Linked DNA regions of Oreochromis niloticus. The protein of the gene in region 2 binds, or shares a complex with, the protein of the main gene of each other region. Links are inferred from orthologs where the notes say so. Each region holds a gene or a part of one and is shown on either strand. Other genes may lie near its edges.

Region 1 (16,892 bases), on a different chromosome or scaffold from region 2:
TCAAGTCAACAGTACTCAGGAGATTTTTTCTTTACAATTAGCAATTGTGTGTGCGCGGAGTAGTACTACAAGTACGATTATTTGTTATGGTCATATCTCCCAGATGGACCCTTGGACTTCCCACTGGTTACCCAATTCTTGCCTGTGGCCCTTAAAAATGTTGTTTATGGTAATTTAGGTTTTAGAGCAGGTTGTCCACTATTCAGAAGGTCAGTGGTTCGATCCCTAGCTCCTGTATCAAACTAAGAGTAAAACAAAGTGCTATATTAATTACAGTCCATGTATCATATAGTAAACTAAGAGAGGGCAAAGCACTAACTAACCTTACGAACTTGATTAGTTACATGAGTAAGCCAATATCACAAATAACTGACACACGACTGTGGTGCATCGGTCACCTCGCACCGGGACAATCTAAATTTAAACCTGTCCAAACATGCCTGTCTGTTTAACTGGTGATCATAAGATGGCTGCTGGTGTGACAGTAAATTGCCTCTTTGTGTTGGCCTGTTTAAAAAGAAAAAACACTTAAAGAAAAAGAAACTGATAACAAGAGCTGAGCAAAGGGTAAAAGAGTCTTCCTGAACAGAATGCATGAAATTCACTGAGTTGAACAGGAAAAAAATGGCAGCAGAAGAATGTTAACTGGCTGAACCTAACTGTATGCATCATAGTGCTACCAAAGCTGTAAAAGGCAATCCTTGACCTGCATGACACGCTGGTGCTGCAATTGTCATTGGACCGCTGGAACAACATAACAGAGTATGCAGCACAAAAAAAGGTACATTTTGACACTTTATCCACTTTAGACAGATTTTTTATTCCAGTTATCTGCTGCACTGATCATGTACCAGAACAACAGGTCATGCCTGTCCACTGCACTGTAACAAATTCAGGACCGAGATTAAAATTTTAAAAACAGCCGCCAACTGTGCAGCTGCCCACCTCAAACCAAATCTAACCAGACATGTAATCTCATCTGCTGTTGATAGAGCAGAGCAGGATTCAGAGGGAAAATGACTGGGGAGTGTCTCCATTACCTTGACAATGGAGGGGTCAGTGAATGCCTCATTCAGGATGTACATCTCGCTGCGGAGCTCCAAGGTGTCGATGATGAAGTCCTCCCCTCTGGTGGAGATCTGCATCAGACAGGTGAGGCCGAGGAAACTTCTGTAGGAATGATGCTGCGATGAAGAACAAAGAAGAAAGTGAGCAGTGAAATTTGTCCAAAAATGTCCAAATGAACAAATTCGTGATGCAAAATTTTAACATTACAGGGACCACAACACTATGCATATGAGCTTTGTACCTCCAGGTCCACTGCAAATTCAGACAATTTGCACAGCTTTTCATTTAGAGCTACCAAATCCTCCAGTGTATCAACAAATGACAACTTTGTCTCAGCTACTGGTTTGTACATCTGAAAAGAAACCACAGATTAGACAGAGGCCTAACCAACAGTGACAGCATCATATTATAGGAATCACACATTAAACATGAGTGTATTACCTGAGGCTCTGGCTTAGACAGAAGATTTTCTGGTATTGTAAGATGGTCCAATTCATATTGGTATGGGTGTGCAAACCTGCATGGATCATAATCCCAAGTTTAGTTGCACATTTAAAAAAAACAAAACACGGAAGAATATATGATGTGAATATTAAACAAGGTAGAAGGCTTACATGTCATCAACATGTTCCTGAGTTCTTTGCTGGTGGATGAAGTCAGCCAGGGCAGCTGGGACATCAAGGTCCTCAGGCCTCTCTTTACGCATTTGTTTGTTGGTAAAATCTATGGATAGAGAACAGGAAAGGTAATAAGTTTGACACGCTAAAGCAGGAGTGTCAAACATAAGGCCTGGGGGTGAGAATCAGCTCAGGAAAGACGCCGCTCTCACCCACTGGATGGCTTTGGAAAATTAGACTTTTTTTTTAACTTTATGAGCATGCATCAAGACATTAAATTTACAGTTAGACTTCTTTTCACTGACAGAAATCAGAGTTTCACTGGTATAAAAGGAGTTTGACATCCCTGCGTTAAAGTGATTATATTGTAATCAAAAACTTGACACGAGAAATCAATAGGATGAGGAAGAATATGAGAGTGAAAAGCATGTCTTACAAGATGGAAGTGGCTTTACTGCATTTGGCTTGATGAAGATCTTGGGTATAAAAGGCGTGTTGCTGTTGTCAACTTTTTCCTTGAATTTCAGCTGAGGTCGTGTGATGTTCTTGGCATGGAGCAGTCGAAATGTCTCGGAACGACTGCTAGAACTGGACCCCTGATCAATAAAAGCATTGTTTAGGAAAAGTGTAGAACAAACATAAAACTTTCAAAAAACTTTTTTTTGTGTGTGCGTGAGATTTAAGAAACAACTGCCAGGTCTGGCACATATTGTTTCTTCTTGAATTCGGCCCAGAGCAGACACTGGCATCTGCAGTGTAATAGCGGAGAGGTTAATTAGCCAACCTTGCGATTCCAGCTGGAAACGACAATTTTTGGAGGCTGGAACCCTGCAGGCATGACAGGCTGCTGGCTCCTGTTCACCCCATCAGCTTCATCAAGAAGAATCCCCTGGAAATCAGACATGAGAGCTCAGGGTTACTTTGCAAAGACTTTTTCGTGTAGAAACTCGTTCGACACCCACGCTGCGGGTCATACCACTCTTTCGAGGATAACGTCATTTGAGTCCACGACCAAGTCGAACCTCTCCTCCAGCCCTGTCAGCTTGTTCCGGTCTCTCATGTGAGATCTGCATCCATGGTGTTGCATTATCTGACTCATACTAACACAAAGGCACAGTGAAAAGATTACATTTTGCTTACTGATGCACAGCTAGTGACAGGTTAGTTATTCAATAAAACAACTCATCTGCATGCATGTCAAAGGGCACGTCTGCACTAAAGCCTCGTGGGAGACTTCTGGAAACCTTTGCTGACCCCTGTTTAGTTTGAAAACTGCTACCTTGTGTTTTAATCTAGAGGTCCAGCAATTAAGAGTTTCTAATAACAAGGCAGCCAGCCATGTCTGCATCCTGGATGGGTCTGATCGCTTACTAAGGCTGATAGATCTTTTGTTATGCTGCATTATTTATAGTTATCATTGTGTTTTCGCTCTACTTGTGTAAGAAGTCCCAGTGCCATATGTCGCACAATTGTTTATCCACCTTTAGGAATCACCAGTCGATACACTTCACCTTTTGGTGTATTTATTAAAGCACTGGATGATTATGGATCTCTTCTGTTCAGAAAACCACAGTCTGCAAGCAGTTAGCTGCAGCCAGTTTCCCAAAAGAGAGGAGCTATCTAGGCATTACACAAAGTCTTATCTGAGAATGTGCATCTATCTGATTGGTTAAAACAGGTGGGGAGAAGTTGCTTGTTTTGCAGGAACTGAGGTGGCCGTGACCGATATCAGGCACCAGTTATCGTGTCTACAGCTGCCCTCATGCATTCTTTTATACTGAGATGTCAGCAGATTTCTAATTAGTGCGAGCGACTAAGCAATAACTATTAGTCAGTAAAACACTGTAGATTCTACTGATCCCAAACACATATCAAAACCAACACGTAACAACTTAATACTGGTGTGTTACTTTCAGTTACGTTTATAACCCATCATCAGTCGAAGCAAACGATCACTGATCGTGTTTGCTAGAAGCATCACATGTACATGTAGCGTATGAGCAAAAGTCTTGAGTTCATTTCTTTGTATTTCGTTTCCAAGAAGCCAGACCTTCTTGCTATTTTTTTAAAGTGCTTTTCTCTTGAGCAATACCTCTCCAGGCTTTCTCAAAGTATTTCAAAGGCTTTTGGACACTGGCTGCTTTTTCACTGATTTTAGTACCAGTACTTGTATCTGACCATGTTCAAAGAAATATTTTTTTTAGGCCACTTAACACTGACCTATGATTCATGCAAGCTTTAAAAAGGCACCCAACTGAAAGGGGGAACCAGTGCTGTGCCTACACATAACTTGGCACACAGCCAACTGTATCTTTAGGCATTTTGCTACTAGAAGCCTGTTTAAAAAACATCTTTTTGTTCTCATTTCTGTAGATGAATCTATGAAAAACGCTAGTTTATGCCCGTGAAATGAAATGTCTGACGGACATAAAAATAGCACTTTCTGCACCAACAATGTGATTCCCAGTGAGCTATCAGCTGAAAATTTGGCCTACCCTGGCATGGTGTGGAGTATGTTGTTTAAAAAAAATAATGAAACTGGAAAAATGGAGGCCCAAGGAAATAGTGGTAGGCATTAAAAACTATGTACAACAGGTAAAGAGGATTAAAGTAATCAGAAAGTGTCTCAGTGGAAGGATGGTTGTCAGGAAGCCATTGTTAAGGAAAACAGGGAGAGAATGAGAATATGCCAAATTACATAAGAACTGGATTGAAAATCAGTGGCAACAGGTCTTACACCGTGAGTGTCTACAGCCACCTGAAAAACATGGTGGATCCTCTGTCATGAAACAGAGGGCAGCCAAAGACGAGCCCTGAATGTTTTCCAAGAAGCCTGGAGAACCATTCTCGAAGACTACTTAAAGAAATTACAACAGAGCTTACCTAACAGATTTAAGGCTGTGTTGAAGAATAAAAACGATCATACCAAATGTTGACTTTCAAACTCATTAGACACATGTACAAACTGTCTCTGTCTTATATACTGTATTTTTATCTGCATTTGCATGTTTCAATAAACTGCTGCACCGACAAGAAATGACGGGTTGCTCGAGACTTTTGCAAAGTACTTTGTAAAAATAATGATGTAAGAATGTAATATACATTTAGAGGCAAGCGGGTATAGATGGAAATTACTTTTTAAAATGAGTTGAAATATGCTTGGTATACGGATATGGTTTAAGGTTTAAAAAGTAAAACATTCATGTGGTCTGATTATCATTAAGATCGGTTTTCATTATAAGTGGAGTGTACTGCTGCAAAACTGTAGTGTTCCTATACACTGTAGTGTATATAAAATATATATACATATACATATGTATATATTGTGCTATTTCTTACTTCTTGTATTGTCTGTTTTTGTTACTGTTTGTACTGGAGCACTGTAACCAACATAATTTCCCATAGGGATAAATAAAGTATTCTGATTCTGATTAACTCACTGAATGCATTGTTGAATCTGTGAATTTAAAGAATAAAATAATGCAAGAACACACTATGTTCTCACCAGTGCAGGAGCTTATCTCCTTGACTTTCACAGAACTCCTGGAATCCTGGGAAGCTCCGATAGAAATCATATTCATCCCCAGCTTGAGGTAGGCCGGCAGATGCTTTGGTGGCTGATAATACAGCACCAAACCCATGCTGTAGAGAAAAAGATAGAGCTGTTAGTTACTGCTTTAAAGCCATTTTCAATAAATTGAAATGTTCATTATTACTTACTGTTATTACATCATATTGAGGGAAAAATAAGGTTTATCCACAGGGAAAAGCAGCATGGATATAGTGCTTATTGCATAATTTAAAATGCTCGAACTTTGTCATTGCTGGCTCTGTTGACTTTATATAAACATAGGCTGTTTAACCAAAGACTTTAATACAGTGTGTGGTTGGTCCCATTAGCTACTTTAGGACTGGATTTCTATCACTTTTCGTCCGTTACTTGCTACACTGCATGATAATAACTGTTAACTACAGACTTTCACATTTCTAACGATTCAGCAAAGACACTCCAGACTCGTAACGTCGACCTTTACCTTTACAAACACCTGTATAAAAGTCATCTTGTCTCAACAGCTTGCTGTGTATGTTTTCAACCAGCTATCAGGCATCCACGTTGCGTTCTTGCCTGCTAGCATGAACTCCAGATTTGTTTACTTACTTTAACAAAAGCGTCCACGTCTCTGAAACCGGGACACAACTCGTCTTTGTCCTCGTCGTTGGTGTCCGAATTACTGTCCTTAGGGCCACTGCTCTTTAAATCTTTCTTCTTTGAAGAAGCCATCATTTAATTTGGTGCTGTGTACATGTGTACCGCAGGAAACAACTTGTTTCTTCGATGATTCTTCTGGGCCACTTGAATGCCGAGGGACAGACAGCACCACCTAACGGTGTGGGGTGGAAGGGCCACTACAAGGCGGACCGTATCACAGACAGGATGCACATATTTTTGACTTTAATTATGCTGCGCTAGGCTTAGACTGCTGGGGGCTTGGGAAACGTTTCTTTTTCATTCACCTATTTTCACACTCTGTGTTTATACACCACACCACAGCTATTATTAATGTCTGGCTCTCCTCCACAGTGTGTCTTTTCTCCTGACTTCCTCCCATCACCCCCAACAAATCGTGGCAGATGCCTGCCCCTACCCGAGCCTGATTCTGCCAGAGATTTCGTCTTGTTAAAAGGCAGATTTTCCTCCCCACTGTTGCCAAGTGCTTGCTCACAAGGGATTGTTTGATTCTTGGGATTTTTGCTCTATTATTGTAGGGTCATCATCTTACAACACAAAGAGCCTTAATGATACTGTTATTGTGATTTGGCACAATAAATTAAACTGAACTGTCTTCCTCCCATCATCCCCATGACTGCCTCTCCCTGAGCCTGGTTTTGCTGCTGGTTTCTTCCTGTTGAAAGGGAGTTTTTCCTTCCCACTGTCACCAAGTGCTTTAACATAGGGGGTCATCTGTTATTGTAGGCTCTTTACCTTACAATATGAAGCCCCTTGAAGACACTGGTGTTGTGATATAACTTTCACTTAAATTCTTCAATTCTATTTCAATAATACTGATTTTCTAGGGTTAACCTCTACCTCTAAAACTGTGAACTGACTCAATATTGGTTATGAATCAGAATATGACTGAGTGTTCTGTCTCTGGTCCTCAGTGTACCTGTTCGGTGCAGTCATACTGCAGGCACAGCCTCATGTCCAGTTTACTGCCTCACCCTGGAGAGATGCACTGGGATGGTGGGACCATTAGGGGGCAGTATTGACATTTGCAATCCGCAGCAACCGTGCCACAGCATCTGCTGCATTGGGAGGCAATATACACCAATCATGTCTCAGCCAATATCTCTCTAAGGGATATTTGAATACGAAGCACTTTGCAGTTTTCAAGCTAAGGTGACCACCATGAGTATACTAATCGGACATAAATACATTCCCCTTAGTCTGGTGTAAAATTCCACTAATTGCAGACAAGTTACAGTGGCCTGGTGCTCTTTAGTGGTCAGTGGTATGCGAGGAGCCCCGGCCAAAGTATTGACACACTAGCTCATTACGGATGATCTGTGGTATGTAGGGAGAAACCTATCTTTTCTTCACTTCCCCTTCATATTGATCTCTTCACAGGGTCCTCTCCCTCTTATTATCTTAAAAGCATCTCTGCAACACTGGGCTCAATCAATATTTCACAGCAGCTTTCCCTGTCATTCTGTTGTTTTAGTGGAAGGTATCTGAAGTTCAGCAAATACATGCTCTAATAATCCAGAAGAAATTCAGCAGTACTCTTTGTGAAGGCTACAGTAAAAAAGCCATCTGCTTGATGTGTGCTGTAGACTGTATTTTTTCGATATGGCGTGTGACGTTAGTATTCAAAGCATTTGATATCTGTGAGGGCAGTCCTTATTATACAGTGTAAGAATACAATTAGTATATTCAGCAAAAAACCAACAAAACACCCTTTAGATGTGTTCTTTAGCCACCGAAAAGGACATTACCGCTGACATTTACTTCCATTTATACGCCTTTTCATAATATTATGCATTTTATAGCTTTGACGGTGCCCCAAGGCACCACTCAAAGTCTTGCAGTCTTGCAGTAAAACACACTAAAACTGCTGATGCTGAAAATGACAGCAGCACACATATAATTCAGAAAAAAAAGATTTAAAAAAATCCAAGACAGGAACCCTCAATGAATTGTTTTTATTAACTCCCTCATTTAGAAAACACAAATGCACCAAACGATATCATACATGCACAGCTTCAGCATATCAAGATCAGCTGATGACTTTTCAATGTGAAAACGCTGCTGCCACGATCTCACGGAGATCACCTCGACATGAACATATTGAGGAGTCACGACAGAAAGGCCAAGCGTTGTAACCCAGAGCTGTAATCGTAAAGTCTGTACGCACTTATAAATCCAATGAAACTACTCGCACTCGTTTTAGGATCAAATTTGCCTTTTCTGAAAATCGTAAAGCTGTATTGGTATAAAAAGACAAAAAGTACTCGTAAATAATACCACTCGTATTATCCACTGTGCACTGGCCGGCTACCTTGTAACAGGTAGGTGTTTGTGTCACTGCACCAAAAGGCTGTGTGTGATAGCAGCTGCTAGGAAATGTTACTCTCTGCTCATGTATTTTTCAGATTCAGGGTTTGACTGAGAATTACAATTGGAAGCAGCACTGTTTGGTTTCCTGGTTGGGGGAGGGCGGGGGGCGTTGCTAAAAAAGCCAAACGAAATACTTACATTATGTACAGCATCATTTATGAAGGCAAGGGAGATCTCAGCGCACCAACTTTTGATTTAGAAATCTCTGGCTCTTAATTGTTCTGTTAAAAACAACACTTGACCTTTGTGCAGAATCTTTAGGGAAAAAAACCCAATCAGTAACCATATCAAACATTAAAAAAAAGAAGAAGAAGAAGAAGATCAAAGTCAAACTCAAAACATCTCCACAGTACTGATACGTTACAAAACAGAGGTTGGCAATGCTTCTATGTACCCAAAGACACAAGTTCTTTTTATCAGTTCATATAATCAATAAAATTAGCCAGAATGATGCATTTCCTGTGTAAACATCTGTTAGTCTAACAATGTCATTCTGCGATGAAAGAATGTATACAGATTAACCACACGTAGAGCCACGAAAACAACGAAACAGGACTCAAAGACAGCTTCAACACTCATCGGGGAAGTAAACCTTTACATTTAATGTGAGCTTTACCTGCAACATGCACCTAATGTGCCCTTGGATTTGGGTCCCTTTCTGCTTTTTAAATCTTACTTATTCCTTCGCTCCGGGAATCCGCGTTAATTGGAAAGACATTTCAACTCCTCCCTGAGTCAAACTCACTTTTTAAAAATCTCTGCCTCCCACATTGACCTTGTTTTGCTCTCGTTCAATGTCCGCAATGCTTCAGTCGCACAAAGCCTTGAACCATAGCACAAGAAATGAGTTTACCCCCCCCCCCCGCAAATAGATAAATGGTTGTCTGAAAGCACTTGTCCATGATGTGGCAGACTAAGGTAATAACCGTGCACAATCATGCTCGTACACATTTACGCACGCACCTTTCATCGTGTCGTCTTGATGAGATTGTCCTGATTTAGTCTTCCCTAAATCCTGATATATTCGCCTTCTGTGAGTGTCATTAGTACCATTACTCCTATGCCCTTTCCCCACAGAAACCCCGCAGGGCTGCTCTAATTTATTAAGATGTTTTAATGTCTGCTAAATCTTGGCACACATCAGGCTTTCCGTTCATCAAGTCAGACTGTTAAATAGACCCCTGTGTCCTGTGCTGACACATTTCAGATCTATCCGCTTCTGCCATCTCAGAGCTATTGAAAGATGAAGTGAAGCAGGTCTGAATACCTGAGCTGCGGGGTTTCGCTGAAATACATAAATAAACAATGACAACACGGACCACATAAAAAAAAAAACAACCAATACGACTGACAACAAAGGACAGATTCACAGAGTATTAAAAACACAGCTGACCACACATTTAGCCAAATAATGTCTAAGCTGGTGGCTAGATTTCAATTATCAGACTGGCACAATTGGCAGCGCTTTAAACCTCTCGTCCCGACTGCAATGGCTGTGAATATACGCTGACTGGCACTGGCTGTGTGGTCCCAGATGGATGTAGACTGGGGCTGCAACTAATGATTATTTTCGGTATTGATTAATCAGTCAGTTGTATTTCCCATTAATCACTCAGAAAACTGTGAACAATGTATATCCCTCTTACCCAGAGCTCGAGGCAACATCCACAGATTGCTCATTTTGTTTGTTTCAAAGCTCAAACATATTGGATTTTCTTTTTCATGCCATACATTAAAGACATGAGAGTTCTGGATTCTGATTGGCCACTAGGGCTACGTTCACACTGCAGGTCTTAATGCTCAATTCCGATTTTTTGATCAAATCCGATTTTTTTGTCTGCTTGTTCACACTACAAATAAAATGCGACAGCAAACGCGCTCTAGTGTGAACGCTCAAAGCGGCCCGCATGCGCAAAAGAAGATGTCACACACAACGCGCTGTTTAGACCCACAGCAAACAATATTGTTTGACTGATGGCCTTTAATATAAAGACTTCGGACTTTACGTTTCCCAATTTTTGCTTTAAGTTATTTTGTTATTTACATAATAATGTAAATAACCTAATAATGATCCTTATTGCTGTTTTAGAGGAGCGGTGCTTCAAAGGATAGCTGCAGATTTCTGTCAGAATCTGCAGATTATACAGTACAAATAAAATGTTCACGTTGTCTTCCCAACAGTTTCACTGACATCTACACTGGATGGCCAGGAAGCGTTCGCGATGTCTTCTCCGGCGCTGATAATTGGCGTCTGTCTTGTGTCAGTGACGTAAAAGACGGATTTAATGCGACATGACCGTTCAAACAGCAGTCGCTTTCTAAAACATCGGATATGTATCGGATTCAGTACCACATACGAAAGTGACCCAGATCGGATTTGAAAATATCGGATTTGTGCCGTTCACACTGTCATACCATGATCGGATATGGGTCGGATAGGGTCAAAAAAATCGGATTTGATGCGCTTTCGCCTGCAGTGTGAACGTAGCCTAGGTGTGTCTTCGCATCTGGTAACCAGGCAGCTGCTTTATTATAAATTAGCTCATCAGCATTAAACTGGTTTGACAAAATAAGCTTCACTCATGGAGCTTTCAGTCGACAGGAGGAGAGAAATGTAGCTGAAAGCTTCCAAACAAGCAAAGAGACTCCTTAGTTCAGATTATTTGTGTCATTTCTTTAAACTGTATTACCTTACCTATATAACTCTATCATAGAGATGCTATACCACCCTTGTGCGTGCATTAACAACAGAACCAGTGCCAAGCTCTGTTAGGAAAGAGCAAATTCAACCATGTCGGAAGCATAAGAATTTTTCTTTGACACCGACGTGAGGTGTAAAATGCAATAATTGTCCAAGAGAGACTTTGAGTCTTTAACTGAAAGTACTGGCAATGTTTCCGTGTAAACACACTGGTGTTTAACAAATAAAAGAACGCGGCAGAGAAGTTCAAACCCAGCTTGCTTTCTCACCTCCACACGGCTGGCAAATCACAGCGTGAAGTGGGTGTGAAGTGATTGTTGATATTGTCAGTTTAGTCAGATAGAGAAATTTGTTTGTTCCGACTACCTGACGTGCCCCGTCTGATGAAGTAAACAAATAAGTGAGCTTCAGAGGTGCTGGCTGTGAATACTGGACAAAGTCAAGCTGACGGTTTGCTAAGCTATGCTTACGCACTGGTCCCATTGTCAGTGTGCTAACATGAGAGTGGTATCAGTCTTCTCTTTTAACCAACCGTGGAAATATCCATTTGAATGTGACATTAGACTGAATGACATTTTGCTTCTCTTCGTGCTATCAAAGGTCAGTAACCAGCGGCCTGTACTACAAAGCAGAGGATTTCTATCCAGGTAACTTTAGGTTAACCCTGGGTTTTCTGTACTATGAAGGTGGTTCGCTTTTTATCGTCATAGTAACTCATGCTGTGAAGCTAAAGAAGCTTTTGTTCCATTTTAGCAACCAACAGGTATGAAGTCACCTCCTACTGATTAATCAATTCTCCAAAAACAGCATCATGATTCCTGAAACATCCCTCACATCTGTGGATAACAGGAGGGTCTAAAGGGAAATCTTTGAGTTTCCCTGATCAGCATCAGGAATAAATTTAACAACAATTTTATTGTTCTGAAAGCGTTAATATGTGATCCTAAAATCCTAAAACAGAGGAGCTACTTATCTATATTTTATATTTATTCTTAACTCTCGGACCGTTAAACACCACCAGGACTGCAGCAGAAAGAATAAAACCTAAAACTGTCTTTTAAACATTAATTAAAGGGAATATTCAATTATAACCCATCAGATTCTCCTGGGTTTTAATGATAGAGCTGTGATATTGATAATTCAGTAAACTTACACAGTGGGCATTTTTTCAGTCCTGGCTTCAAACAGGCTAAATGCTCACGCTTTCATACAGCGCTTTTAATACTAAACTACTGTACAGCGCTTTTCCTCACGCTGCAGCAGCTGTGTTGGTTTCAGACTGTTTCATTTTTAACCTCTTCATTTTTTTCCCATTGCATAGTTTTATCTTCTTTTCTCTGTGATTGGCCAAATGCTGCCAGTGCCAGAGAACATGCAGATCATTTTGCGAGAACGTGCAGGTTAAACCCTGGGTTGACTTATCAAGTTGATAACCAGCTTACCAAGCGTAAGGATAACTGAATTCTGATACTGGAGAAATACCCGGAGTATGCTGAACTCACTTTGTAGTACAGGGTCCAGGCAAAACCTTTAGCCTAGCGAGATAAAGGAAATACTGCATATTCCAAAAAATTAATGTGAAAACAGGAAAGTGAGATTAGAAAATCCGATACAAAAGTAACTAGATCACCCTCTAATTTTGATTTCATATAGTGGTTTGTTGGCAGATCATTGCAATCCCATTCAAAGTTGAACACTGTGGAGGGAAATGTAATAAAAGGTACACCTTGCTGTGTTTTACATCTTAAACAACAAAGTCTCACATCTGAGAAGCTGAAGCCGGTGAACATTTGTCATTTTTCTTTGATAAATGACTTCAATGACTGCTGTTTAAGTTTGCTGAAGCACTGGTGCTGGAAAAAAAGGAATTACATTGGCAGTTACACACCTCTGCCGGTACTGCTGTATACAAGCAAATGTAAAATTTGTGAACGCAGAGCAAAGTCAAATCCATCATTCGGCAGGCTATAACTATAACTAGCGTGAGGCATTAAAACTTTTAGGAGCTTTCATGGTACATTCAGCTCCGCACAATCAAAAGATAAAAGGTAAATGGAGGACAACGGCACTATGAGGTGTTTTATGAGTTTCATCTGGGACACAACCGACTTTTAAAGGATCACGTAAAGATGGAGATGGCTGCAGTATGTTCTGAAAAGTACCACTAACCAGTGTCTATAAGTGACGCCGATACAAGAATCTCCAAGGCACGGGCGCAGGTGAATGAACATGTCCCTACTTTCTGATTTTGGAGAGAACTGAAAACTCAGAAATACAAGGAAACAAACAAACAATCATAAACTTCTCTTCAGGGCTTTCTGCAAGGTTCACTGAGACCTTCGTGATAAGAAAAGTGAGGAATAAAATGTTGAGGAAAGCATGTAGCTATCTTAGCAATAACAACGAGAAGGCTGAAACTACTTTGGCACATGAATGGAAGTAAGGCATCTGTATCATTCTAGAGTCAAAAAAGAGTTGAAATGGAGCATTGTTCCCAACCAGCAAAAGTGGCAAAACAGACTTATGTAAGAAAAAAAAAAGCAAGCGTTTACTGTTAATTAAGTGTCTGACAGCACACTCTTCTCTTGTGCTGCTGCATACTTGCAAAATAACACTTGAAAAAAATATGCGGTACTTTAAAAAAAAATGCAAGAAAAGAAAAAACCTTGACCACTTTCACAAATTAAAGAAAACAAAACAAAACAAGAGCCAATAGTGAATGCTGAAAAAACAGAGCAGAGTCTGTTTGTGTCACAACGATGACCTGAATGAGGATACTGCGATGGTGAGGAACAGGGAGAGGGGGGAGATCTCCACACTGCAGGCTCTGGAGCCACGGGCGCTCATACCTGGGATACAAGAAAAACAAGGTAAAAGCACCGTGGCTGACATCCGTCTGAAATACACATTTCTAACCCAAAGTTTCAATTCTCTGCTCTGTCAGCTGCTGAGAATAACACGCTTAGGTTGTCAAAACATAAAATATGCATGCTGACGTTTCATGGGGGTACTTAAAATGCGGTCCAAACTCGTTTATGTGCTGGCTTTTAAGTGCATGGGTAAAAAATGTATTAGAGGAAGTGAGTGTGAAGGACCCAGAACACTGATGCAGTTTGCTTCAATCGCTGCTTTCTCACTATATAATATACTTGATAAAAATGACTCTGCCAGACAGCGCGTTTCCTGCTTCTCTGGGAACGATGAGCCCATTTAACAAAAAAACCCCCCAAAACATGTTGAATTCTATCTCTCTGAACTGCTGTTTTCAGGGATACGACACAAAAGTTCAACAATGCAAAGTAGCATTTAGGGCAGGGGAACAGCCCCCGCTGGAGTCCCACAGGACACCAATAGCATCTAGCCAAAGCGAGTCTGTGACAGAGATGGATTGTGTTGCATATTTCAGCAAACTATAAGCGCCGAAGAGCGCAGCGGGGGTGGGCTGGGGCCTTGAGTAATGGTAGGTCAGGGGAGGACAAAGTGTCCCTGTCAGATTGACAGTGTTAAGTGACTTTATTTACAAAAATGGGCAAAAAAAAGAAAGAAAAAGGTCCCAGTGAATTCATATGTCAAATTTTGGCATTTGTCTGTGTTCCTCTGTGGTACGAGAGCAGCATATTTTAAAGGGAAGGGTATGAGGAAAACTCAAATTATTCTTTCAGCCTTTCATTTTTGATCATTTAACCACTGCAACTTAACAAAACATGAACACCGAGCTTACTTAGCTGGTGGATTCGTATGGGATCTGATGCCGGCCCTAGTCCTCCTTCACTCAGTGTCTGCACAAAGATGATGTACTCCTCATCGTCCTCAGGGAGAGTCAGCTCTGCTGTTGCGTTGACCGTTGTGAGTGTGATTACCTCTTTGTGTCGCTGCCTCTGGTATGACAGCTGAAAGGGGAACACAAACAAGGTTGTAAATATGTTTTCTAACACCATGACAACTTCAAACGCATAAGCTTCGTGGTTACCCGGTGCACCAAGTTCCTGTGAAAGGAACTGAGAAAGTAAAACTCACTTGATAGCCTAAAACGTCTGATTCTGATTCCATTGCCACCACGGGTTCCCAGTAAACAGACAGCTGAGAGCCCATTAGGTTCCATCCCACATTCATTGGCGGCTGGGAAGGTGCTGCGTGACATAAAAATTATTAACAATTTTATATCAGTGCAGAAACATTAGTGTCACATTGGTGTATAATCCCAATTCCAAAAATTTTGGACACTGTGTAAAATATAAATAAAAACCAACAGTGTATTCACAATAAAACAAGGCAAACATAACAGATAATTAAACTGAGACATTTTAATATTTTATAAAATATAATAGCTCATTTTGAATTTGATGGCAACAACACATCACATCAAAGTTGGGAAAGTAAGTGATATTAAAAAGAAACGGCTAAACAGGTTCATCAGCAACAGGTCAGTGACATGATCTTAAAGAGGCAGAGCTCCTCTAAAGTAAAGATAGGCAGAGGTTCATCAATCTGGAAAAAAAAATGTGTCTGCAAATTGTGGAACAATTTCAGAATAATGTTTGTCAAATTGTTAGGACTTTGAAAACCTCATCATCTGCAGTACATGATGTTATGCAAGATTCGGGGAATCTGAAGAAATCTCTGTGCACAAAGGACAAGGGCAAAAATCAACACTGCATTCACGTGATCTTCGTGCCCTCAGCCAACGCTGCACATATCATGCAAAGAAGCTGTATGTGAACACGATCCAGAAGCATCTTCCCTGGAAAACTGTTCTGTGGTGAGACAAATTGAAATCCGAAAATCTTTCTGCAAAACATGGACACTACGTCCCCAGATTAAAAAGGAGAGGGACGATCAGTGATGGTACGGGGCTGCGTTTCTTGCCTATGGAACTGTCAGCTTGTTCATCTGGAAAGACACCATCAATGCTAAACGGCATGTACAGTTTTCAGAGCACCTGGAGCTACAGTACGTGTTTTAGCATACTATTCCAACAGCATGGCTTTGCAGTAGGAGAATCTGGGTGCTGAACTGACCTGCCAAGTGAAAACATCTGGTACAACCTGAAATGAAATATGCGACAAAGAAGACCCAGAAGTGTTGAGCACCTCGAATCTTATATCAGACAAGGATAGGACAACATCAGTCCAGCAGCTTCTCTCCTCAGTTCCCAGACATTTATGGACTGTTGTTAAAAGAAGATGGGATGCTACACAGTAGGAAACATGGCCCTGTCACAAGTTTTTTGAGACTTATTTCTGCTGTCAAATTCAAAATGAGCTAATATTTTTTCAGTTTAAACTTTTGATATGACTTCTATGTTCAGCTGTGTACTAAATATGAGTTTATTGGGATTAGCTAACCATTGCATTCTGCTTTTATTTGCATTTTACACACCACCCCTTGGTGAGATTGAACAAGAAAGATTTTATTTCACTTACAGGATAACACAACTTAAAAAAATTGAATTAAATACTATTATTAGATGACACTAATCTTTGCCCACTTTGGAAGTACAAATAAAGTGTGGATAAAAGCAGAATGGAACCAGTTCACTTTAAGGTGAATTGGTTTGCAGCTTCAAAATCATTTTGATGCTACACTGATCTGTTAAATGGCAGGTGGCATCTGTTTAATCCCCACTCCCCGACTACAATGCCTGTTTTGGCAGTAAGTAAATTCAGTGAGAGGGTAACACCTCCTGGGAAATGCAAGTTGCCAAGGATAATAAAGGCAAAGCCCTGCAGATTGTGACTACTGAGGACACAAGGCCCTCGTCAAGGGACTGACAGATCAAGGTCCGGTTGCACAGAGTCAAGAGGAAGCAGTGTGCTTGGAAGCAGAAAAGATATAAGCGGGTCAGGCTGATGACTAAGCTAAAGGCTAACAAAACCATGTTGGCTAT
Region 2 (16,689 bases):
CAACCCACTGAATAAAGCTGAAAGCCTGCACTTCGACTGCATGTAAGTTGTTTCACTTAAAATTCATTGTGGTTATGCACAGAACCAAAATGAGAAAAAATTGTTCTCTGTCCAAATATTTATGGACCTAACTGTTGATTAAATTTCATGTCAGAGCATGTTGTTCTGTTTGGTTAGCAGCTGCCACAAAATGGCCAGTAACTAACCCCCGCGGAGACTGTTGACTGTCAGAAAATGAAGAGGATTGCTTTACATTGAGCAAGTCTTGCTGTGCTCTGCTGGATTTAGTATAATCCACTATAATGCTTCCAGCACCCAGTGTCTGTGATGACGGAAACTGGCAGAGCTGTTTAGCTTGAAGTCGGCAACTTCTTATGAATGCTAAATCCACAGAAAAAGTAACTACACACTAAGATGTAGAGGATAATTAAGTGCCTCTCTAATGTGACTGAGCAGTACTCTCCACATGTACAGTCAAAATAGTACATTATGCAACAGCAGAATTAAAACCCTTTCCCCCCCTCAGTCCCTGTGTACCAGTGGGTCACAGCATGAACTCTGCTCTTACTTGTCTCACAGACCAGACAAGGTCATTATTCATTACCAGCAACATAGTTGTTCTAATTGTTTGTCTCCAGGCTTTTATTTAAAAAAAAAAAAAAAAAAAAACCTTGAAATTTCAGTAGTGGCAAAAATTCCCCCAAAATCCTATTGCCTTAAATAGAGACTAAATGGAGACTAACCATCAGCAAACTACCATATTATTTTGGACTAAGAGTAGAAAATATATTTGTAATTGCTACATGTTAATGCCCATCCAAAGCCTGCTTACAATCCATGTCATGCCAGCAGAACTACTGAAAACAACAACTGCAAAAGGAAAAACAAACAAGTGAAACTAAATTTGGTGATGTCTTGTGTTTGCTGTGTGTGTATTTTTTATCTATACATGTAACCTGTAACTGTAGCTCAGGAGGTAGAGCAGGTCATCTACTGATCGGAAGGTTGGTGGTTCGATCCCTGTTTTAGCTCCCCCTGGTCCGCATTCCAAATATCCTTCTGCAAGTTGCTCTCCGATGCATCCATCGGTGTGTGAATGGTAGTTGGCAAGTACGTAAAAGCATAGAAGACTGTGAATGTGGCATGTTGAGCACTCCGGGAGAGTAGAAGAGCGATTTAAGGATCAGTCCATTTACCATAACAAAACATTAATGAACATCTTCCTTGACTGGTCACATTTCTTTATTTTGTTCAGTTTACACTTTTTCTTTGGTCTTTTCTTCATTTTCATGTCCCCTAGTATACAGTCTAAAAGACCTAAAAGAAAAAAGAATCCATGTATGTACCAAATCTAAAATGTCAAAAATAAATGTGACAGAAATTCACCCACTTGCTTAACCACTTTCCACTGGAGCTGATAGCTCTCCAAACTGACAGGACAGGACACGGCACTAGTCCATCTCAGGGATAAATGTGACAGAAATTGATATTTGTAATTTAATTTTCTTCAAGTATTTTACTTTTTAAATTAGTTAATTACTTTTCCATTTAGTTTGAACTATTTTTTTGTTTATTTTATTTAATTTTTCCATTATTTACTTCCTGAACTTTTTAAAAATTGTTTCTCTATACAACTCTTTTCTGCTTCTCTATGCAAATGATGAATCTGTTATTTCAAGAGTGGCGTGGGGTTGAATTTCTCACTTTTGGATAAAATAAGACTTATAGCTCCTAGAATAGTACACACATGCAAATCACAGTTTTACAGCCTTCATTGTAAAAAGCTGCATGGGATAAAACTGAGTTCATTTAAATTCTTCATATTTACAGCAATCTTATTCTTACTCTGTAACATCATGTTTGTGCTGGTTGACCTGTGAGGACCACATATCGGTAAATAAACAGCTGCTTTCAAACTTGGTTTAAAGACCTATATTAGAAATAACTGGAAAATTTAAAAAATTGCAGATGAATTAAAAAGCTTGAGCATATTATGTGACATGCAAAACTGTCAGTGGTGCATCGTAGTGTCATACTATGGAGATGTTTTTCAGCAGTAGGACGTGGGAGACTAGTCAGGGTCAAAGGAGAGCTGTACAATCAAGTTGTAAAAACCTCTCACAAAAGATCAGCAGAAACAGGATGCACCCGAGTGTCATGACAAAGGCTGTACATGTTTCTATGTTTTTTTATTTTTTAGAACGAATTTCAAGCAAACTTTTTTTTCACCTTGTCATTGCACGGTATTGTATGTAGAATTTTGAGGTAAAAAAATTAATTGAATCCATTTTGGAATGAGGCTGCAACATAACACAAATGTGGAACAAGTGAAGCGCTGTGGAAACTTTTGGGATGCACTGTATCTATTGTGGCTTCCATCACAAGCTGGTGAAAAGAGCCTCCTCTCCAAGAAAGCCTTTGCATGCCCTCAGCAAACACAAACCACACACTGGTTCCATTTTTCAAAGCATGTGTCAATTTGCCAGGTCACAGCAACCCCTGAAACCTCAGTGACCTATCCTGTCCTGCACTCGTACGACGCTGCTCTCTTTCTCTCCCTTCACGTGGGAGCTCTCCATCTGTTTTGTCTATAATGTGTTACTCGTGCATTTGCCCTAAGGACAGAATTCATGATGCTTTGTAATGGCCAGCCCCATCGCCCTCCCTCCTGTCCACTCTAAAGTGCCCACTAGGCAGAACCACTTAAAAATGTTTCATGTTGCTTTTCTTCCTGCTTGCTCGGCCTTTGTTGCACGATGAATAGGATGCTGAGAGCCGATGGGCTGCTGGCCTTAATGGTCTCTCCTTTTTACCTCCACCTTATGAGCTATTTGAATTGCATGGCTGATGTTTTGCCATTGCCTCATCCTGAGAGAACAGAGCTCAAACTCTTTGACAAATTCTCTCCATAATTCATAGCTTCCCCCTACACCCACACACAAACCTTTTAGCAATCAACCAGTTATTCTAATACCATATATAACACTACTTGCTATTACATTTTCCTGCATCTTTTTTCTAATAACCAGCATAAGAAGCTCAGGCCACAAGAGCTGGAACTCCAATATGACATGTCCTTGAGAAACAACAGCTAGCGTTCTCCCATTTATCAGCACTGATTACATGTATTGATCTGACAGAATATGTAGGATTCCCTAGAGAAAGGGGTCAGCAAACTGGAAAATCAGCTGCTGCTGCTGCTGTTGCTTCAGCACAGTATCGTGGTCTGTCCACAGTAAGATGGAAAGATCACATCAGATGCCAACGACCAGCAGCTCTTAGGTGAAAGTCAGCATTTAACAGGCTCCTGCTGCCAAATTTATTACCTAGTAAATACACAACAGTAATTCAGTGACATGGCGCCATCCCACCAATAATCTCGCTGATTTATCTGGTCATGTTTAAGAGTCTAATAATGTTAGTATACAAAATAAAGTAACAGGAAACTGGCTTTCTGCTGGCATGAAAGAAAAGGACAACACTGCCTAGTTTATGAATTTTTACAAGACATTTGTGCATAAACTCGAACTTTCTTCCTGCCCAAACCGTTTATCTTTTTCAAATATTGCTTGACGTGCTAGATGATGTAAATGTATTTTCTCCCTTTCTCAAAATGAGCATGAATATAAAAAGCATTTTGTGCCAAAATAGGAATGGAAATGGAAAGTCTGGTTTAATGTGCTAGTAGACTGACAAACAGTACTTTCAACACTATGCACATACATCATTGAATTTCAGGGACAAGAAAAAAAAATCTTCCACTTGTCCCACAAAAGCCCAGAGGAACAGCACACTGCTTCCTCTGATTTTCCTGCTGTATACTCTGTACCGAATCAGGTATTTAATGGCTGTGATTGTGATTGCAAGGCGCAGCGGACTATTTGGTTTGTATGCATGGGAGGATATCTGGCCTACAGGAACTATTTTCTACTGGCGACACACTTCAGTACCCTCAACAGCCTGTTATTCTTTAAACACTGGAATTATGTTTACCATTTAGGGACTAAAACACAAGTGCAGCAGTGTTGAGGGACTATTAAGATGCGGCCTATGGAGGAGTCAAAGTGTTGTTTGACATGAGCTGAAGAACAGATTCTCAATCAGTGACTCCTATTAATACAGCTGCAAGCAGTCATCTGCTCTGTTGTTCTGTGTTCTTTTGTGATCTCCTGGATGAGTTGTCAATCACAGAGTAGCCATGGTAGACCAGCAGCTCCTGGCAAGGTTCCCCACTGCTCCAAGATTTCTAAATTTGTGGATGATGGCTCTCATCATAGTCAGTGACTTTCTTTCTTAGTCGATTCTTTAGATTGTAGCAAGAGTTGCTTTTAGCAACCTTTTAGCCTACTTCACTTTGTCAGACAGGTTTTAAGTGATTTCTTGATTCAGCTGGTCTGGCAGTAATCGGGTGTGGGTGTTACTGGTGAAAGTGAGCTCAGCGTTCCAAAACTTACTTCCAATACTTTTTCACATAAGGTCAGGTAGGTTTGGATAGCTTTTTTTTCCTTAATAAATTAAAACACAATTCAGAATCTGCACTTTATTTCTTACTTGAGTTATCTTTGTTTAGTAATAACATTTCTTTGATGCTGTGAAACATTTAGGTATGACAAATATCCAAAAAATCCCAAAAGAGATAAGGAAGGGGGAAATACTTTTCATAGTACAGTAAATACCACTATAATGGTTTGGCTTTACTTAAAACAGGTTTGGTTTTGAACCATCTCTTCCAAAGTATTTCAAAAAACTATAAAATAATCAACCCACAACAGCCTTCAAACTAACGTTCATCACATTATTTGAACTTTAGAATAATCTTTAATCTAAATAGAAAAAATTAGATGTTTTGTAAAAGCACATCAGAGTTCACATTATATGATGACTGCATTAGATAGATAGATAGATATCATTTTAAATCAAACATGTAAATATAACAGAAATAATAAGAGAAAAGAAAAACTTCAAAACATCAAGTTTTCATGAAAATATCTATATCTACACAAGGTTCGTGCTCGAAGAGGATTGGGATGAAGTTTTTCTGTTCCTACCCCCTTATTTCACATTCCATTATTTACAAGTCAATATTCAGAATTTGGAAACTGAAATCAGAGGATCGGAAATCCGTATGTACTGTTACTACACAGCTGCAAGTATTAGTTAATGTGGAAAAATGTGTTACATCTGCCAAGCTAAACATATCATCATACAATGTAAAGCGCCTTCAGCCAACTGTTGTTGGCGCTGAAACTGAATTCAAGTGAAGTGAATTGATTTCAGAAGTACCTGCTTGATGAGCAACAAAAAGGAATTATTTTGTGTTTGTTTGGGGGGGGGGGACTTGATAAATGAATTTTGTCAAGCTTTGCACTGGAAAAATGTATTCTATGAAAAGATAAACAAGACCTCGGGGCATTTTTTTTATTTGTGTTTTATTTGAATCTAACAGAAAACCCATGAGGGTTTTTTATCATTATTATTTTTATTTAAAGTGCACTTTTTTCTTTTGACAATGTGGATTGACAGGTGTTTGATATAATAAGAAGGCTGTTTTCTCTTTGCTCATATATTTTTCTTATACTATTTTTTTTATCTTAAATTTTTGTTATTTCTTTTTAAAATTCAGCGTTGCGTGAATTGATCATTTAAATCGCAAATTTCAGAACATTATCTAGCCCGAAGACAACTGGGACTACATCTGTACATCACACTGCTCTCTTCTTTCTGTCAAACATTGATGCAACTCACAAGCCATGTGCTCCTGACACTGAGGTCTATAAGTGAGCCTGCAGCCACCTAACATCGCTCTCATTTACTTTGTTTTTCTTAGATAAATGCATTTTGGATTTCTTACAACCTTATCATCTTGCCAAAGGAGTGCTAGTGGTACAGCCCTGACCTGCACATGGTTCTGAGAACTTATGGTCTTGAACTGTCGATGCCACCCACACAGCCTCATCTTAAAAAGTAAAACTCATTTAATTAAAGTAAGAGCCCAGGAGTCGTCAAAAGCTGCATTACTATTATTGCAAGGGCATGTTTGTGACAAATGCCAACCGTGACATATTGCATAGCACTACAGCTGCGCAATAAATGTTAACTACTTGAAAGCAGAACACAAAACAGAAATTGAAAAGCGTCTCTCTTAAGAACTTGCATTTTCTTTGTGAGGCTCTAAATTGACATATATCACTCTCTCTACTGACTTTGAACTTTACATCGTCACCGAATGCAAATATTCTATTTATTTCAACCAGTGGATGTAACGTTCAAAGACACGCAACCTCCGCATACACAATGGAAAGCCTCGTGGACCACCTCCAGGTTTATGTGTCTTGCTCAAGATCGCCATCTAGCGCTGACAGCTCGTTAAACTCTGCCTGCTGTGACTCCTCAGGCGGATTCGGTGGATATACTACAACAGCAATAATCATTCTGTTGCCCAATTATCATCCTAATTAATAAAACTTAACAGTTTCATCTCTTTCATAAAAGAGTCTGGACTGCTGAGGACTGTCTCAGTGCACAGTCACACCCTTTTAACACCAACAGGAGCTGACTGCAATAGCAATTGATCAATCAGCTGCTTAATTTTTGAACTACATCCACATGTAAAAGAGTCGACTGTGTTCCTGTTAGGGGATCTGAAGTTTAGCCGTGGAGCTTGTAAACTGAACAGAAAAGTGGGGAGATTAACAAAGAGCCAACTTGCGGTAAACAGGGCCAAACCGTACAGTGACGGGACAGCAGAACAGCTCAAAAATTAGTTATGAAACTAACTTTTGGGGGAAGCCAGCCTCATATTATCGCCAGAAAGACAACAGTTATTAAATCATTAAATCGCAAGAAATAGCAAGAGGTTATTGTGCTTATATGGTTCAAAATCTGGTTCAAAAGTGCTCATGTAGCATATATATATATACATAGAGAGAGAGAGAGAGAGAGAGAGATTATTAATATTAGGAAATATAATTACAAACTGCTTCCTGCGGAATAGTGATTTTTCGATATCCCCCTTAAACGAATAACTGTGCGTGTAGAAAAACAATGATAACATCATTTTTAGTGCTTACCTTTAGCGGGGATGCGTCATTTTACAACAGACTTTTTCAAACGATGCCGGTCCATAAACACGAGTTAAGTCCTCAGCATCTGTGTCGGAGCACTTCTCAACTTGAGCGCAGAATCTGTGCTGGTGCTCTACTGCAGCTCCTCTCCACAGCACAGCCAAAGAGCAGCAGAGGCAGCAAGAGGAATGACCCACTTCGCCTGCTACTTTGCATTGCTTAACAACCACTTCCTCCGCTGTTTAACAACACACATTGGATCAACTTCAAATATTCATTTTGAGCTGCTACTCTTTTCTTTCTTATATATGAGCTGGAGGAGGTGGCTGGGGAGAGGGAGGTCTGGGCTTCTCTGCTTAGGCTGCTGCCCCCGCGACCCGACCTCGGATAAAGCGGATGAGGATGGATGGATGGTCTATAGTTATCTAAATATTTACTATTAGCTCATAATAACAAGTGTTTCTAGCAAAAGTAGCAATAAAACAGTATGAAAACACCTCGTTACAAACAGAAGTTGAAGGTATTTCCCTTCTTTGTCAGGGTCATTACTCCAAAAAGTAAAGAAAAGTAAAGTAAAAAAATATACCTGACCTCTACCCACTTTGTTTCCAGCAATGCCCCAGGTCAAACCAAGTTTTGGTGGACCAGGGTCTGGTGGAAAGCCCGAGTCTACCAATGCCTGGCCTATTACTGGTACACAGTACGTCTCTGCCAGACCACTTGAGGGTGTCCCACTTCCATTACCCAGTTATCCCAGAAAACACATGCTGACTGCCTACACCTTGAACACACATGGTCTGGTGCTTCTGTTGCCCCCCAGCGTCTGCAGCCACTCTGACCTGTGGAGACATTGCAGAAGACAAGGGATGAAGGGATTAGCAGATAAATAACTGAGAGAAAAGGAGCATCATACCAACAGTAAAATATCGCTACATCTGTCACTACAATCATCTTCCTCTGCTTGTCCACCACTACTATGTTCGGTTGGTTTGTCTGTCGGTATCTGGAAGTCCCACAGGATCTTAGCTTGGTCATTCTCGACCACCTTTGGGGGCATCTCCAATTTTGACCTCAGGACTTTCAGGCCATACTTGGCACAGATGTTCCTGTATACCATGATTATGGCGTTCCAAGTATGGCCTGCCTGCTAGCATCCTGCAGCCTGCTGTTATCTGCTGGATTGACTCTGTACACAGCCTGCACCTGGGGTCTTTGCCTGGTGTGATAAACCCCAGCCTCTATGGATCTTGTACTTAGAAGTTTGTCCTTGTGCTGCCATGATTAGTGCCTCTGTGCTGTCTTTCAGTCGAGCTTTTTCCGGCCACTGGTAGGATTTCTGGAAATCAGCCACTTCCTCTATCTCATGGTTGTACATCCTGTGCAGGGGCCTGTCCTTCTATGATGGTTCCTTGTCTTGCTCCTCTTCTTTCTTGGGTTTCTGCTGCCTGAAGTATTCGCTAAGCACGCAGTGAGTTGTTACTATCTTCCGGATGTTTGTTGCCTCATTTGGAACGTGGTTCTCACACTCACTAATCACCGGCCGCCTTCCTTCTGCTTAGCATACAGCCTCAGGGTGAAACCCTCCATGCATGGTGGCTTTTATCTCCTCCTTTGGTCAGCTTATTATTCCAGCAGTGCAAAGGTGTTGATATCCTGGATCTTGTTATTACCATTCAGGTGACTCGGCAGGACTATGCCAGTTCACACCTGGCATACAGCTTGATGTCATCCATGTAGAGGAGATGATCACTGCTCCATTCTCCATGGAGAAAGTGTATTTCCTTGGTGAATCCAGCATTTGATGGTGACTTTGTTATTGGAGTTAGCCTCTACTGTTGTTTGCCACATCCCCATTGAGTTCCTAATGAAGGCTCTTAGTGTCCTGCTGATCTTGTATAGTTCTAGGCATTCCAGGATTCATGTGTGGGGCATTGAGTCATAGGCCTTCTTGTGGTCAATCCAGGCAATCCAGTAAACACAATGGTTAGTCTGGTCTTACTGTCTCGGGCGACTGCTCTGTCTACCAAGAGCTGGTGTTTCGCTCCTCTGGTGTTTCTGGCCAGTCGTTGGCTGCTGCACCCATTCTGGGTATTTTACTGTCTATGCATTTACTCTTGGCTTGTAGTTTGGTATCAAAATGCCAAGACTGCAACACCAAAAACACTCAGCTCCCTTTTTCAGTTTGGAACCTCACTATTAACTAGTTGTGTTACTGAGGTTACTGAAAAGTGAAGCCAGTGATGTTTTTGTATATCATGGTTCCATTCATTAAGTATAAAACAGGCAATTGTGACTGACAGTCTCATTCATGCATGCAGTGTCCTCATATTTGCAATCCACCATGTGTCATATGTTAAATAAAAAAAACAAACAAACATACAAACAAAAAAGCCCCTCAAACTCTATTCTACAGAGTGGGTGGGTGACATGACCATGTCACGGCTGCTGTGTTAATCTTTAATACACATTCTGTCTCTTTCATATGTTTTAAGAATTTTTCTTTTACTTTGGTATTACATTTAAATGACATAGAGATTACAGTAGCATCAAAATTGTAACATTTACACACTGTTTTAGCACTAAAACACTAAAAATGTGCAATATAAATGAAGCCTTTAGTATACATCTGTAGTATTCCTTGATGCTTCGATATTAATGTAGTTTTGCTTAAATTTGTGGAAATGGTAAGGTTTACTATAATTACTCGATAGCATAGTGATTAACATACTACAGTGCTGTAGTGTAGTTGTGTCAGGAAGGGCATTCGGCGTAAGACTGCCAAATTAAAACATACAGACAAGGGAGCAGCTCAGATTAGCTTTGACTCTAATTGCCAACATGAAGATGTATATGAATTAAAGGCTTTAACTTTGCTGCATTTGGACAAATGGTAATGCAGCTTGGGAGCCTTAAGAGCTGATATTAGTGTTGGCTCTTATATCGCTGATCCGAGTCAGTACCGAGGTCATCAAAAAGACCAAGAATTCCTATTACTGGCCTGGGTGAGCGTCCGACAGCACTTGAACGCAGCAAGACGCGGTACTGCTTGGGCGTCATGACGTCAGCAGTCGTGCCTTTCCTTCCGTGTTTCCCTGAACTTTGCCGTGAATGTTTACAACCGCGTCTTCCCGCGTTTTGGCAGAACAGCAAGTTAGCGAGCGCCGGCGGCTGTATGTGGCTCATTAGTGAGTGTGGACGATGATTAAAACGGAGAGAGTCCTGCATTTGAAAAGCTGCGTGGGGCGGAAGGTCCGAGTGGTCCGGGAACACTATCTGAGAGAGCGGGTTCCCTGCTGCAGCTCACTGTGTCAGGCCGACTGTGTAAATGGTAAAATCAGCTAAATCTCAAATTCACAAAAACAGCTCTTTGTTTGCTGCTATAGAAGTATCTAACGTTGCTGTTAATGCAATACTGGCAGGTAGTGGTTTGGGGGCGTACACAATCAAATGAGGAAAAATAACTTGTTTTAACACGTAATTTTTATTATATTATATTTTGCTTCACTGTAACATGAATCGTGAAATAGCAAAGTACATACAGTATGACCCAAAGCTAGAATTACCTTGTATGACAGTTAAATGGCAAATCCCACCTGTGCACAGATAAGAGGCAAGGGGTGTTGTGCCAAAAAGTGATTGTCTGCCAAAAACTGATTTCCGGTATTTGCCGAAAACTGATTGCTTGTATTTAAACTGCTATAAATAACTTATTGGTCTATAATATGTGAAACATATGTCAAATGTATCCCTCATCAATGATATCAAGTCATCTTGAGCAACAAACAACATTCCTGTAAGAAGGTAGAAGCCGCAATCAGTTTTTGGCAGTGACTTTTATATAAGCTTTATTTATAATAATAATAATGGATTGGATTTATATAGCGCTTTTCAAGGCACCCAAAGCGCTTTACAATGCCATTATTCATTCACGCTCACATTCATACACTGGTGGAGGCAAGCTACGGTTGTAGCCACAGCTGCCCTGGGGCAGACTGACAGAGGCGAGGCTGCCATATCGCGCCAGAGGGGCACTTAAAATGCACTTAAAAAAATTCCTGTTCACTTTAAAAATGTCTCTTTTAAGAGCAATCTGGCCAAGAGGACAGCTGAAATTGCAATAAAAGCAAAAATAGTTCTGTAAACATATGTTAAGTGACAAAAGGGAGCTGACTGGTTATAATGTAACCAGTTACAAAGATACTTGAGAAACAGGTAATTTTTTAATTTTATATATAACCCCTTTGTAATACCTGTTCACCAAAGTCTATTTAGCAACATATGTTACGATATTACACATAAAAAAACACACGGAAACATTGGAAATCAGTTTTTGGCAGGCAATCACTTTTTGGCACAACAGTGCACCAGTCTGACTTTGTCTAGGTCAGGTGTAAAACCAGTACTTTGTTCTGCCCATACAAGCTACCGATCTGAGACCAATGTTAAATTAATATGCGCTATTCCTCACTGTGAGGAAGAAACTCTTTGATGTAAGAGGCAGTCAGGATGCACTCAAAGATTCCTTCCTGATTTTGTAAAATGTTAGTAAAATGCAGCAAATGAATACATCCAAGAATATACGTTTAGTGAGTTAGTGTTTATTGGTTAAAAAATACATTTGAAGGGATGAAAACAAAAAGCATGTTTTTGTTTTCACTAAATGTATTTGGACTAGTTAATTTTAGCTCAGTGTAAGAATCTTTATTGATCTGTGCTTTATGGTTATGACAGTTCTTCTTTCACTGCTCTCAGTCTTAATCTAAGTGCACATCTTCATATGCATGTAATGCATGGAGTGGAGCTGATGAGAGACAGGTGAATTGGTGTAATATTAATCAAGTTGACACAATCAACAGTACTATCGTAAGTACAATAAAGTGTTCATAGTAGTTGTTAAACCAAATATATTTAGTGAGAGCATGAAAGCAAGAGAGAAAAGCCAACAGGTTTGTAGAGCTTTTTAGTGATGTCCACTCACTTGACCACAGTTTGTTAGAAGCATTCAAAGAAAAGCTTTGGGCATAGCAGGTGTAAAATGCCTCCAGGCTGCCAGCTCTTTTGCTGTTGGTTTCCTTCATGCTATGATCAGCTGGTGATCTGCTGCTGACAGTGGGGATGTAAACGCAGAACAGTGTAGAACTGGACAGATTAGAGCGTTGTCACCAATACCTTGTTTTGCTTTTTGAGTCTGGACTGCATTGATATGTGATCCAAATACTGGATAGGTGCACCTGTAGTGAAGAACAATCACTTAAGCTTGCACATTTGTGCTGCTGTTTAGTGTTTGAGGTGAGAATGATCAGCGCTTTTATGAAATATCAGTCCGAGTTTAAGAGGTTTTATCCTGTGTATATTGACTTCATCTTAATCCAGATCTTCCTTGTGTTTGTAGGTTATACAGCACACTGAAAACATTGTGAGCCACACCTCATGTCTTTGCATTTTGCTTGGAAAATAGAAAATAGGTGCAACAATTTATTGAAATATCTGAAAACTTAAAAAGAAATACATTGTATAAGACATGCCAGGTTTATGTTTATGTCAAGTTTTAGGCTAATAGTGCTGCGGATATCAGCCTGTTGGTGAAAAAGCACTATTTTATGAATGTCAGACTGCATTATCTTTGGCATTTTTCATAGATTCAGCTAAAGAAATTGGAAAAAGATACAATGTAATTATTTAATTATTTATTTATTTTTGCTGTCTTATAATGTCTAGATATAATCCTGGTTCATCCCTTGAGTTAGGTGTTTTTTATGAATGATTCATAGGTTAGGCTTAACAAATTAAAACAAAATGAAAATAGTTGGTATAATAACTGTGAGTGAAAAACCATCAAGTGTCCAAAGAAAGTCTTTTAGAAAACCTGGAAAACTGCCGCGGGGCAGCTCACTGTTAATATGATGGGTCATAATCAAGATAGACTGCATTATAGTCTGCATAATAATAACTTGTACCGAAATATGTCAAAGTAACAATAAATGTAATTTTTTGCCATATAATATGCTGATGATCATCTGGTGTGCAAATAAAGTAAAAACAAGTATTTTAAAGGGAGTGATGTGTAAGCACAATAAACTCTTTATATGGGACATTTTTGAAAATATTTAAATGCATTTCTCTGGATGTACATCGATTCCTGTAATCTGTGCAACGTTTAGTAGGAAACAAGCAAATGTAAAAGAAGGATGCTTTTAAGTGTCTTTTGGCACAGTTGATAACATTTCCAATAGGAAATCAAGCAAATAAAGAGCTGTAGAAACAAGAATTTATCGCTGAACATAGATCTTCCCAAACAGATGGAAAGCTGCTGCCCGGAGATTTGACCCATTATGTGGTGCCTGATGTTGCTGTCGTAGTCGACTACCTGGAGATCTTGGAGTTCAGAGAGCTGCAGGGCATCATCTTCACCCAGACTGCTTGCCAGGCTCTGCAGAACAAGAATCGCAGGTACAATTGTTTGGGTTTTTTTGTTTTTGTTTTTGTTTTGGCAAGAAGATTACTGGGAAGTAAACAGGTGAGTACTGATGTTCTGTTTTTGTTATTTGTGGCCCCTTTTGTTACATGGAAACTGTTTTAGTTCTTCATCATATAGCTTTTGAACACTTAGCCCATGTAGTGTTGAAGAGACACATTGACCACTGAAATCAGTAAATGCTGATCCATCCATCCTGGATATGTGTTATCCAGTCTGTCGCAGGGCTAACACACAGACAGGAGACAACCATTCGCACTCACACCTACCTAATTTTGTGTTTCCAATTAACCTATCCCCACTAACTGCATGTCTTCGGACTGTGGGAGGAAGCTGGAGAACATGGGGAGAACATGCAAACTCCACACAGAAAGACCCCGGCCTGATGATGGAATTGAACTCAGGACCTTCTTGCTGTGAGGCAACAGTGCTAACCACTGAACCACCGTGCTGTAAATGCTGATATCAGGCAAAATACCAGCTGATACCAGTATTAGGCTGATGAATTGGTTAATCGCTAACAAGTAACCAGCTCTTTATTCTATGTATCTTGTAAATGGAAAGGAGAATACTCCACTTTTTACTACTTTTTAGCCAAACACAGTAAAACTAAACTAAACTGGGACATGGCTCTGAAGCTAGCTAGATGAATACAAACATCTCAGCTTGCAGCATAAGGAGCTTGAACAGACATTTGAGAGCTACCTGAAGCATTTTGTGTTTTTGCATCTGTGCTGTTTGCACCGTTTAAATCAAACTCTAGTTCATTTTTCCTGCTGTTCGGTTTTGTTTGAGCAGATGTAAACATAGTCATTTCACTCTCTTACATGCCAACATAACGGCACCAGTATATATTAGAGGATGTGGCTTTGGTCCAGTTTCAAACGTACTCCAGTGTGGTTTTTATTATGGTGAGTACTTAATCCGACCTCAATCTGACCCAACTACCTGTTGTACCCTACAGGATTTAGCGAAGCATCTTCTCTCATGTAGGTCGGTATAATTTGTATTCTGGGCTGTGGCAGAGTAACAGATATTCATTAAAATGAATGCAACTTCTCCGCGTTGTTAACTATCCCCAAACACGGCACCTGCTTCCTGAAATACTCAGTAGCCCATCTGGAACCAGTAACCTAGCCGTGCTCAAAGTCTTTTAAATGACTTTCCTCCCCATTCTGATGCTCTTTTTGAATTTCTGTTTGAAATGTTGGAGTTGCATTCATAATTCATAGTCAAGCTGTTAGCTGTGTGCCCAGCTTAACCTAGCTACACACGTTTTTAGACTTTGACCAGGGGTCAGCCTCATTATATCAAAAGCTCTGCTGACAAAGCTAAAAGAGACACAGCCTGTGACTTGAAATATGTGTCCAGCATAAACATGCAGGAGAGCTTTGGACAAACTTGATGAGCACTGTAAATAAGAAGTCCCACGTGAACTCGGGTTTCAGTCCAGTTTATTTCTGATTTGTGCTCACACAGCCATTTTACAGTGTTGCATCATTAATATGATGAGGCTTCACTTTGATAGTGTTCGGTGGACATCTGGTGAAACATACAGAGTTGTCATACTGAATCACTACTTACTGTTTTCCATTGACTTTAACGTACACGGCAAAGAGAAAAAAGCTTCATCGTGGACTCTCTTTGCAGTTTCACTTTTGCAGAATTGCTGAATTTTCTATACATCATCTTTATTAGCTCAACTAGAGATCGGGGCATTTGTAGACCTTTATTTCTCATTTCATCTGTTTGATCAGTACAAGTGTTAATTTTTAGTGTAAAACAGCTACTGCATGTACTCTGCTGTTTTAGTTCACCAAAAACTTTGATTTTTTTTTAACTGGGCTTTTATTGTGAAACTCAATTAAAGGATAACAAAGCCAGGTGGCATCCTCTTTCACTAATTTCAGATCAGGATCTTATGTTTAGGTCTATTGCATATTATATAACAGGCAACTCTTTGTTTTGTTTTGATTTTTACAAAAAAAGAGTTAATTTAAAAAATGAGTCTGTGCCAAAATGAACAAGGGAACATAAATAAAAAGTTAAGAAAAGTCAACATACGTTGCTTTGATCTGTTTTTTCTCCCTTGTGCTTCAGGGTTAACGTTCTGTTAACATCCCCCACTGATAGGTTTGTGTAGCACACACCTATTGCTGGAATGCCAAGACAATTCTACTACAATGGCAAAAGCAAGATGCAAGTCACCAGAGCTCTTTGTGTTGCTCGTGCACGAGGGAGAGAACTGTGACGAGCGCTGTTCCTTCCGCTCGAACCCCAGTCACTCTCAGTTAGCTCCCCCGTAGCACTGCTCTTTATTGTGGTTACATGAATATGCATAGGTTCATTAACATATGACGTCTTACACAAGCATACATGTGAACAAAGAATACCGTCTGTGTGTATGTGTAGGTATGCGTGTGTGTGTGTGTGTCAAGATGTGACCCTGTGAACGACTCCCCAAAGCCGGTGCCAGGAGTCCAGTGGTCCACCTAAACAAAGGGCTCTTATACTTAAACAGATACAGAGTAGGTGTCCTCCCATAGTATAAATCAGTAAGAGAAGGTATGACCTCTCTCATGACCTTAGGATGTGTGTGCATGACAGAGTGCTCTGGAAGGCACACAAAGTCTTTGCAGACTACTAAGGATCAGACCTTTATCATTATGCAATCGATTATAAACCTCTAAGCATATATGAATATATATTTCTAAGCATAAATGACAATCCACAATATAAACCTAACACCCACCATTCTCCCAAACTAATGATAGGGTTTCTTGAGTGTAATTTATGATTTTATTGAATGTACTTGTTTTTTTGTCATGTGCGTTTGTGCAGGTATTACAACCGGCTGCGAACCCTTGTCAAAGACCCTCGACACGACTGCGTGCTGTTTGCCAATGAATTTCAGAAGTACGCTTACTGTCCACGAGAGAAGGGCGAGAGCCAGGAAAAATGGCAGACCAGGTCGGTGCTCATTATTTACCACACTCACTGAAGTGTTTACATTAGCTTGTGCTATGCTACAGTCAAGATGCTGCAGCACATGTATCATAGAAATAAAGTCTTTTCCTTTCTCATGTTTTCCTCTTTGTCATGTTTTTTCTTGTACTTATACTTCTTTGACTTCCTTTTGTTTTTCTGGGT

Evidence for each region.
Region 1: dis3l (region 2) and exosc10 share a complex: the UniProt entries of both Homo sapiens proteins name them as parts of the RNA exosome complex. The link is inferred for Oreochromis niloticus from reciprocal best matches to the Homo sapiens genes DIS3L and EXOSC10.

Annotation. Positions count from the first base shown.
Region 1 is NC_031984.2:22,529,574-22,546,465, forward strand, and holds the start of exosc10 (exosome complex component 10), read right to left. Parts: upstream 6,059-16,892; 5' UTR 5,971-6,058; coding exon 5,845-5,970; intron 5,328-5,844; coding exon 5,191-5,327; intron 2,786-5,190; coding exon 2,662-2,785; intron 2,575-2,661; coding exon 2,470-2,574; intron 2,282-2,469; coding exon 2,122-2,281; intron 1,792-2,121; coding exon 1,683-1,791; intron 1,586-1,682; coding exon 1,510-1,585; intron 1,421-1,509; coding exon 1,310-1,420; intron 1,185-1,309; coding exon 1,041-1,184; intron 1-1,040. Other genes in the region: cntn3a.2 (contactin-3), read right to left, coding at 13,757-13,854, 14,727-14,895, 15,023-15,135. UniProt on the Homo sapiens protein: Catalytic component of the RNA exosome complex which has 3'->5' exoribonuclease activity and participates in a multitude of cellular RNA processing and degradation events.
Region 2 is NC_031965.2:3,294,778-3,311,466, forward strand, and holds the start of dis3l (DIS3-like exonuclease 1), read left to right. Parts: upstream 1-10,117; 5' UTR 10,118-10,262; coding exon 10,263-10,392; intron 10,393-13,363; coding exon 13,364-13,514; intron 13,515-16,380; coding exon 16,381-16,509; intron 16,510-16,689. UniProt on the Homo sapiens protein: Catalytic component of the RNA exosome complex which has 3'->5' exoribonuclease activity and participates in a multitude of cellular RNA processing and degradation events.